Linked DNA regions of Sus scrofa. The protein of the gene in region 2 interacts with the protein of the main gene of each other region in a pairwise test. Links are inferred from orthologs where the notes say so. Each region holds a gene or a part of one and is shown on either strand. Other genes may lie near its edges. The genes, in order: NKX3-1 and SPDEF.

Region 1 (4,372 bases), on a different chromosome or scaffold from region 2:
ACTGAAAAGAAGCCCTGCTGTGGAAAAGGAACAAAAAAATAGGAGGGCAAAAAAGGGGCTTGAAAAATTATGTTACCTGTCATGGTGTTGTATGAATTACAGCCTGAAAACTCCAGGAACCTTCTCATTCTAAATTCTCAGGCCCAGGGCAAAAAGGTCCTTTTGCTAATAAAGACATGCGAGCCCCCCGCAGCAGCATGCGTGGGGACTTCTCCTTAAGCCACTGTCTTGGACACGGGGAGATTCTTCCGGCCCCAGCCCACCTCTTGAGGGAAAGTTTCTGTTTAGACAGCTTGTCTTAAAACCACAGTGAGTTCTTCTTGTTCTGCTTGGGCCACCCTGTAAATACTTCAGTTGGCCTATTATTTTAAAAGGAAGAATAAGAAGCTTATATTTTCATCTCCTCCTACCCATCTCTGTATCCTGTGCCAACCTGCCCTGAGCACCACAGGCTTCTCTGTGGGACCCTGTGCTTCCTGCTCTCCCCCAGGGATGGAGAGCAACCCGTGGTCATACTCCAAGGCCAATGAGAGGCGTCTGACCTTCAGTTTAATTCTGGAGGTGACATCTCATCTTAGCTCTCCTCCCCTCCCCCACACCCCCTTCAGGAGGAGCGGATGCTCAGTCACAAAAGAGGATGGAGCTGGAGGCGGAGAATTCTCACAGGTGATGTGGGCAGCCTCCACAAGTGATGCTGGAAACAGCACTTGACTGTATCCCGCCCCACTTCAAGCGGGTCTCTCAAAGCAAAAATGACCTACATTCCCGTGGGGGGGGGGACCTATTTGGCTCTTAAGTTATTTCCTGTCCCAGGTCTTTCATTGGCACACCAGTGAAGAATCTGGGATTTCCAAGCAAACCTCCAGTGCTTTCAGTCTGCAGGTCTCTTGCGGCCCAGTCCTCCCTGACCCCGGGCCCTTCTGCCTTCCAGAGGGACCACCAGGGGAAGGCAGCTTTTGATCACACATGGTTGTCTGAGCCGGCGTTGTTACCAGAAAGCTGGGCTCCAGCCTCCCAAGCAGTAAAGGTAGGGGTAGTAAGGGTAGGTGTGATGCATGGCGATGAGGGAGGCCCGAGAGAAGCCTTCCTCCTTCAGAGCCGGCAAGGAGGGGTGCTTCTCCAGGTCCCCCAGGTCCGAGGTGAGCTGCTTCCGCTTGGTTTTATAGCGTCTATTTTGGAACCATATTTTCACTTGGGTCTCCGTGAGCTTGAGGTTCTTGGCCAGATGAGCCCTTTCGGGGGCCGACAGATACTTCTGGTGGCTGAACTTCCTCTCTAACTCTATGACCTGAGTGTGGGAGAAGGCGGCCCGGGAGCGCTTCTGCGGCTGCTTGGGGGTTGGGGGCAGGCTCGGCAAGGCGCCTGGAGTGTTTTCACAGTCCAGCAGATAAGTCTCAAGGTGCCTATCTGGAAAGGAGAGCGGAGAGGCAGGGATGGGAAGGAAAACGTTACATGTTAGCAGGGAAGAGAATAGAATTCAATCCACCCTTATCTCTTCTGGTGAGTGAACAAACAGCCCACTGTCAGTTTGGATACATTGCACTTTTTTCACAGGACTCAGGAACTCTATGAGTGGGGCATGAGTGTCAACTTAGACCATGTATTCATTTTCCAGGAGTCATCAAGACCCCAAGGTAGGAGAGGTTAGTGGTAGAACTTCCTGCCACATTGTCCAGTAGAATTAAATAGGGATTCTGGATCCATGTGTTGAGGAGAGGAGGGAGAAGGGAGGCAGGGCAGGCTCTGAGAAATAAGATACCTGGAAAAGCAGGCCCCAGAGGCATCTGGTGTTAATGCCCTGGTGGCAAGAGAGGGCTTCCGTGGTAGAGAGTTCATTCACTTGCTCTAAACCCCCCCCCCCACTTCTTAAATGAGCCATTAGGATGCCTTGTAAGAAGGCAGTCAATTGAATGGTAATGATACATAGACTTATTGTGGTGATCACTTTGTAGTGTATATAAATATCAAATATTATGTTGCGCACCTGAAACTAATATAATGTTATGTACCAATTTTAACTACCCAAAAAAAAAAAAAAAAAAGAAAGAAAGAAAGAAAAGAAAGTCTACTGCAAATGTTCCGACGGTGTTACATGTCCTCAAGACCAGAGGGGCTCCTAAATTTACTGTTTTATTGCCCATGGGACTGGGAAGCAAAGGGAGTCTTTGCAGGTCAAATCCTAGTTTATTAATATTAATAAGTTACTGTCAGTAACTTGTTATTGTAACTGCCAAGAGGTAACATGAGGCTAGCGTCGATTGTGGGTCCCGCGGTGGCTGGGAGCGGTGTGGGGGTTTTCCACCTGGGACCCTGGGGCACGGTGGGCGCTGTGTTGTGCGCTCACCCTTGAGCCTGGGTCTCCTAGCGGCGCAGGGAGCACCTTGCCCGGCGAGTCAAGCCCATGTCTAAATCCTGCGCCGCCCAGACGCTGGGGTTCAGGATTAATTTCCCAGGCGCGCCCGCAGCGGAGGCGGTGAGGTCTCTTTGCCTGTCGCCACCGGCTCCCGCATCTCTGCAGCAGAGATCCAGGAGGTCCGCCTAGCACACGCTCTCATGCGGTGTAGCCCGCGGGCCGGCTGCCCTTCCTGTGGGACCCACCCCGGCCCAGACCGGCCTCCCCAACCTCGCTAGCTTACCTGGCTCGGTCTCTGCCGGCGGCTCGGCCTCCCTCCGCGCGGCGCGGGGCCGGGCGCTCCTATGGTCCTCAGGCGCCCCGGCGCTGCCTCTTCCTCCCTTGGGCTCCGGCTCAGGGTCTCGCCTCTGGTCTGGCTGGCGCCGGGGCTGCGGCGGTGGCTGCGGCTGCGGGCTGCCCGCTTGGCCTCCGCACTGCTCCGTGCGGTCCCGTAGGATGTCCTGGATGAGGAAGGAGGTAAGCGGCTTGGACTGGATGGGTGGTGCGGCGCGGGGGCTGCAGCCTGCCGTCCCCCCCTCCCCCGGCCGTAGCTCGGGAGCCCGGAGCATCCTGGCGGCTCAGCACCCGCGCCTGAGCAGAGGCCCGGGCATCTGCGCCCAGGCTGCGCCGGCTGCGGCCGCACCACTTTCACTTTCCGCGGCCCGGGTGCACTTATAACCCGGGGGGGGGGGGGGGCGCCGCGCCGCCTTCCCATTGGCCGTACTCCCGAACCCCGCCGCTGATTGGTCGCTGGGCCCTCCAGGTGAGGGGAAAAGGGGAGTCTAGCACTGTCTCGGCCTGGTCTTCCAGAGAGATTCCTTTCCACTTTCGTTCTTCTCCTGAATCCGATCTCGCCTCCCTCCCCGCTACGTCGTTTTCTCAGGCTGGAAGAGAAAACCAAAGCGAGTCTCCTCTTGCCCCAACCCACAAAATAAGTTTCGCTGTTTCTGGAGAATCATGATGCAGCAGAGAAACACTCCATTTAGCTCTTAGAGGACTGTTAAAGTCCCTTTACTCACGAAAAGAAATAGTTGAGGCAGTTAACACCATCCCACTTCACAGATAAGAATTCTGGGTGCCCAGTGACAGGGAGACATTGATAGCAAAGCTGAACCTACTAAATCTAAGGCTTTTGAAAAGACATGACAGCTAAGTGCAGCATCTGGCCCCAGGTTGCCTTCTATACTGGACTTTATTGGGGCAATTGATGAAAGTGGAATAGGACGATGACAAAGTATTGAATCAGTGCTAACATTATTGAAGTTGCTAACAACACTGTGACTGCGTAAAAGAATATTCTTAGGAAATAAACGCTAAAGTATGTAAGGGCAAAGTCCCACAATTTGTGTAACTTGCCCTCAGTTGGTTCAGAAACAAAGATATAGATGGGCAGATAGATCCTATATGATGAAGTGAAGGGGTTAAAATATTAATTGGTGAATTTAAAAAAGAGTATACCAGTGTTCTTTTGAACTATTTTTATTTCTCTGTACATCCTAGTCTAAGACACCTTTCATTTGATTGGAAACCTTTCAAAAAGTTGGTATGTTGTGCGTTTGGGGTGGGAGTAAAGTTACTGTGGATAAAGCAACAGCTAAAGAGAACCACCCTGTGCAATGGGAAATTTTTCACCAAAAATGGTTTTCTTCTCTCATTTTTTTTTTGTAAAAAATTCTAACTTTTTCTTTTGAAATAGTTATAAATTCCCAGGAAGCTGCAAAATCCATACCCTTAGCTTCCCCCAGTGATGACATATTATATATAACTTTGGTATAATGTAAAACCCTGGAAATTGGCATTAATATGCACCATTAACTAGGCTACAGACCTTATTTTATTTTCACCATTTAAAAGCTTGCATTCAGGTGTATGTGTGTGTAGCCCTATGCAATTTTATCACATGAATAGATCCTTATAAAGCCACAATCAAGATACAGAATTGTTCCATCACCACAAAAGAACTCTCTGTGCTATCTCTTT
Region 2 (3,193 bases):
TGAGGAAGCAGAGTTGCTTTGCCCAGGAGAGTGGGTGGTGGGTTCCATCCCCCCAGCCCTCTCACGCTCACCCTAGCCCCTCACTCTCAGGACTCAGCGGTAGGACCAAGCCTACCAGCAGGGGGCACTGATGAGGCCTGTGGCTTCTTGCAAGAGAAAGTGCCAGCAAAGCCAAGCTGGAAGCCAAGGAAGCCAAGTTTCCACTCTGTTTGCTGCAAGAGCCAGTGCCCCACAAGGAGGGCTGAAACCCTCTGCTGCCCCCTCCCAGGGCCCCCTTGGTCGGCCAAGCGGGACAAGGGCTCTGGGCCCCCTCTCGGGAGGGTCAGCACCCCCTACAGCAGGGAATGAGGTGGGAAAGAGGCCACCATCGCTCAGTCCTACCACTGACCATCTGCAGCCCCAGCCCCTCCCCCACCCTTTCAGTCCACACGGGTCGGGGGGGTGAGGGCCATTCCAGCCCCTCGTTGGCCTTGAGGCCTCGCCACCTCTCTCTCATAGCTTCTACCATCCACCCAGCCCTTTCCTTTTAGGCTCAGCGCAACACCACCTCCCCCAGGAAGCCTCCCTGGACCACCCCAGGCCCCTGTGACCACAATGACTTTGAGCAGTGACGGCCTCCAGGCTGTGCCACTTGCTCACTGCAGGACACCAGGGCCACGTCAGTTCTCTAGTATCTTTATTATCCGTTCCCAGAGTGCCCCTGGCTTTCCAACTCAGGGGTGCAGACGTCCGCCAGCACCATGCCAGGCACGGGGCAGAATGGGTGGCCAAGAGCACTTGGCTAAGTCACCGCCATTCTGTTGGCTCTGCTCTGGAAATTCTGGGTCAGAGACTGGGGTGGAGGGAGGGTCTTCCTTGGGGAACCATGAACACCGAGGACAGCCCTGGTCCCCTCTGTCTTCCAGGGGACTGCACAGGAGCACCCACACCTGGGGTCCCTCAGGCCCCAGAAAGCTCACTTGCCCCCCTGGGTGCAGGGGACCATCCCACTCTGACTCTGAACTCCAGATGCCAGTGAATTGCCCTGTCCCCCAGCTCAGGGTCTGGCCAAGGCAGGGCAGGCAGGAGGGGGCCCTGGCAAGGGCGAGTGTGGGCCCGGGCCCGACGGCAGCCTCAGATGGGCTGCACAAACTGGTAGACCAGGCGCTGGGAGATGTCCGGCTTCCGGATGATGCCTTTCCTATAATACTGGCGGATGGAGCGGCTCAGCTTGTCGTAGTTCATGGCAGGACGGTTCTTGCGGATGCCCCACAGCCGGGCCACCTGCGCCGAGTCCTCAATTTTGAAGATGCCTGGGAGGGTGGGTAGGCAGGGGGCCAGTGAGAGCCAGCGGTGCAAGGCGGGCAGCAGGTGGGAGGAAGACCAAGACCAGCAGCTCCATCTCTCGGAGAGCCAGGGGGCCAGCATCACCTGGCGGCCACCAGACCTTCTCCCCACTTGTGAGGGTTCCCAGAAACGTGGGCAAATCCAGCTATAGACCCACAAATCCCTAGGTGCAGGGGGAGCCTGCCTACATTGGTGCATTACTTGGGGCCCTCGCCAGCCTCTACTCCTAAGCATGGGGTTTGCACATACTACACAGAAGCCCTGAGGGGCTCCGGGCTGCAGACACAGCTCCTGTGGCAAGGCCATCCCCGCCCCCACCTTCACCCTGGCACTTCCTGAAAGAGCTCTCTGCTAGTCTCAGACCCGTCAGCCCTCACAGAGCTTTCTGGCAGGATTAGTTTGTAGGAGACGGTGGAAAGAGAGTGGATTTGGAGCCAGGCCCGCCTGGGTTGGAATCCTGCCTGACTCTGCCATTTTCTACCTTTAGAAGCTGTCTGAGACCCCTTTTTCCTGTCGGGAGGCTGCAGGGACTACCACGTGGTTGAGTGGTTACAGAAAGTGCTTAGAGCAGAGCCCGAAGGGTGTATGTACCCTTTAGGATAAATGATTCCTCATTAATACCCCCAGTTCTCATTCTAAACTACCTGGCAAAGCCCGGGTCGACTCTCCCACTCCAGGCAGGTCTCCCAGACCACCCAGGCCTCCCCATCTCCCTTCCCTCCATTTCCCTAGCAAATCAGCTTGCTCTTGGTCTCAAACGTACACCCAGACTCATCGGACCTTGTGCAGGAATTTCTTCACCCCTGCCACCCCCTTCTCCTGCTCTGCGATCAGCCCAGAGTCACTCCTCCTGGGCCCGGAGCATAGCCCTGACGCGCTTTGCACACCAGCTCATTTCACTGCTGGTTCTCCTACAAGACTGTGCGTGCTCAGTCCTCCCCGCACCCTGCGGATGCTCTAACTCCCTGTAAGGGTCCACTGAGCAAGTGTGGGACCAGAGGAGGTGCTCAGCAAAGGTTTGTTAGATGAATAAATCTAGTCCATTTCACAACTAGGAAGCCTGGGCCCCAGGCACCCACAGCTGCTAATGGCAGGATGGGGCCTAGAACCCAGGTTTCTTGGCTCTGAGCCTTTTCCAAAGCATACATCCACACTCCATTCAGCCTGTGCCTTCCACGGGGCTAACAGCTGGACACAGGTGGCTCTTGAGCCCTTGAAATGGGGCCAGTCCTAATTTTTGCTTTTGGCTGCGATGGTGGCATGCAGAAGTTCCCCAGGGCCAGGGATTAAACCCTAGCCGTAGCAGTGACCGGAGCCACAGTAGTGACAATGCCAGGTCCTTAATCCAGTGTGCCACCAGGGAACTCCTGGCCCGTCCTAATTGAGATGCGCTATAAGTGTAGACTCTATACTAGATTTTGAAGATTTAGTAAAATATCTCATTAACAATTTTTATGTTGATTATATGTTCAAATCATAAGAATTTATAATATTAAATAGAAGTATTATTAAAATTAAATTCACCTACTAATTTTTTTTTAAATTGTGGCTGTCGAAAAGCTAATATGGCCTATGGGTCTTGCGCTGTGTTTCTCACTGGACACCACTGGTCTCGGCAGCGGAGCTCTAAAGTTTTGAGGGTAGAGACTGTGTCTGGTTCTCAGAGTTTTAAGCCTCTGCTATGTCCCCCCAAGCACTGGGTGCCGCTGGGGACCCTCAACAGGCAGAGCCTGGCCAGGGGATGGAAGTGGAGGCAGGTGGCACACAGACCCTGGGCTGGTCCATGAGGTATGTATGTGGCATTCAGGGCAAAGGCGGGGGCTGCCCCCCTCCCCCAGCCAGCCCCCAACCCTCCTGTGCCCAGCAC

The links.
Region 1: the proteins of SPDEF (region 2) and NKX3-1 interact in a two-hybrid assay, tested with the Homo sapiens proteins (2 studies listed by BioGRID). The link is inferred for Sus scrofa from reciprocal best matches to the Homo sapiens genes SPDEF and NKX3-1.

What each region holds. Positions count from the first base shown.
Region 1 is NC_010456.5:7,783,996-7,788,367, forward strand, and holds the start of NKX3-1 (homeobox protein Nkx-3.1), read right to left. Parts: upstream 3,042-4,372; 5' UTR 2,962-3,041; coding exon 2,637-2,961; intron 1,408-2,636; coding exon 989-1,407; 3' UTR 1-988.
Region 2 is NC_010449.5:30,515,266-30,518,458, forward strand, and holds the end of SPDEF (SAM pointed domain-containing Ets transcription factor), read right to left. Parts: intron 1,293-3,193; coding exon 1,114-1,292; 3' UTR 660-1,113; downstream 1-659. UniProt on the Homo sapiens protein: May function as an androgen-independent transactivator of the prostate-specific antigen (PSA) promoter. Binds to 5'-GGAT-3' DNA sequences. May play a role in the regulation of the prostate gland and/or prostate cancer development.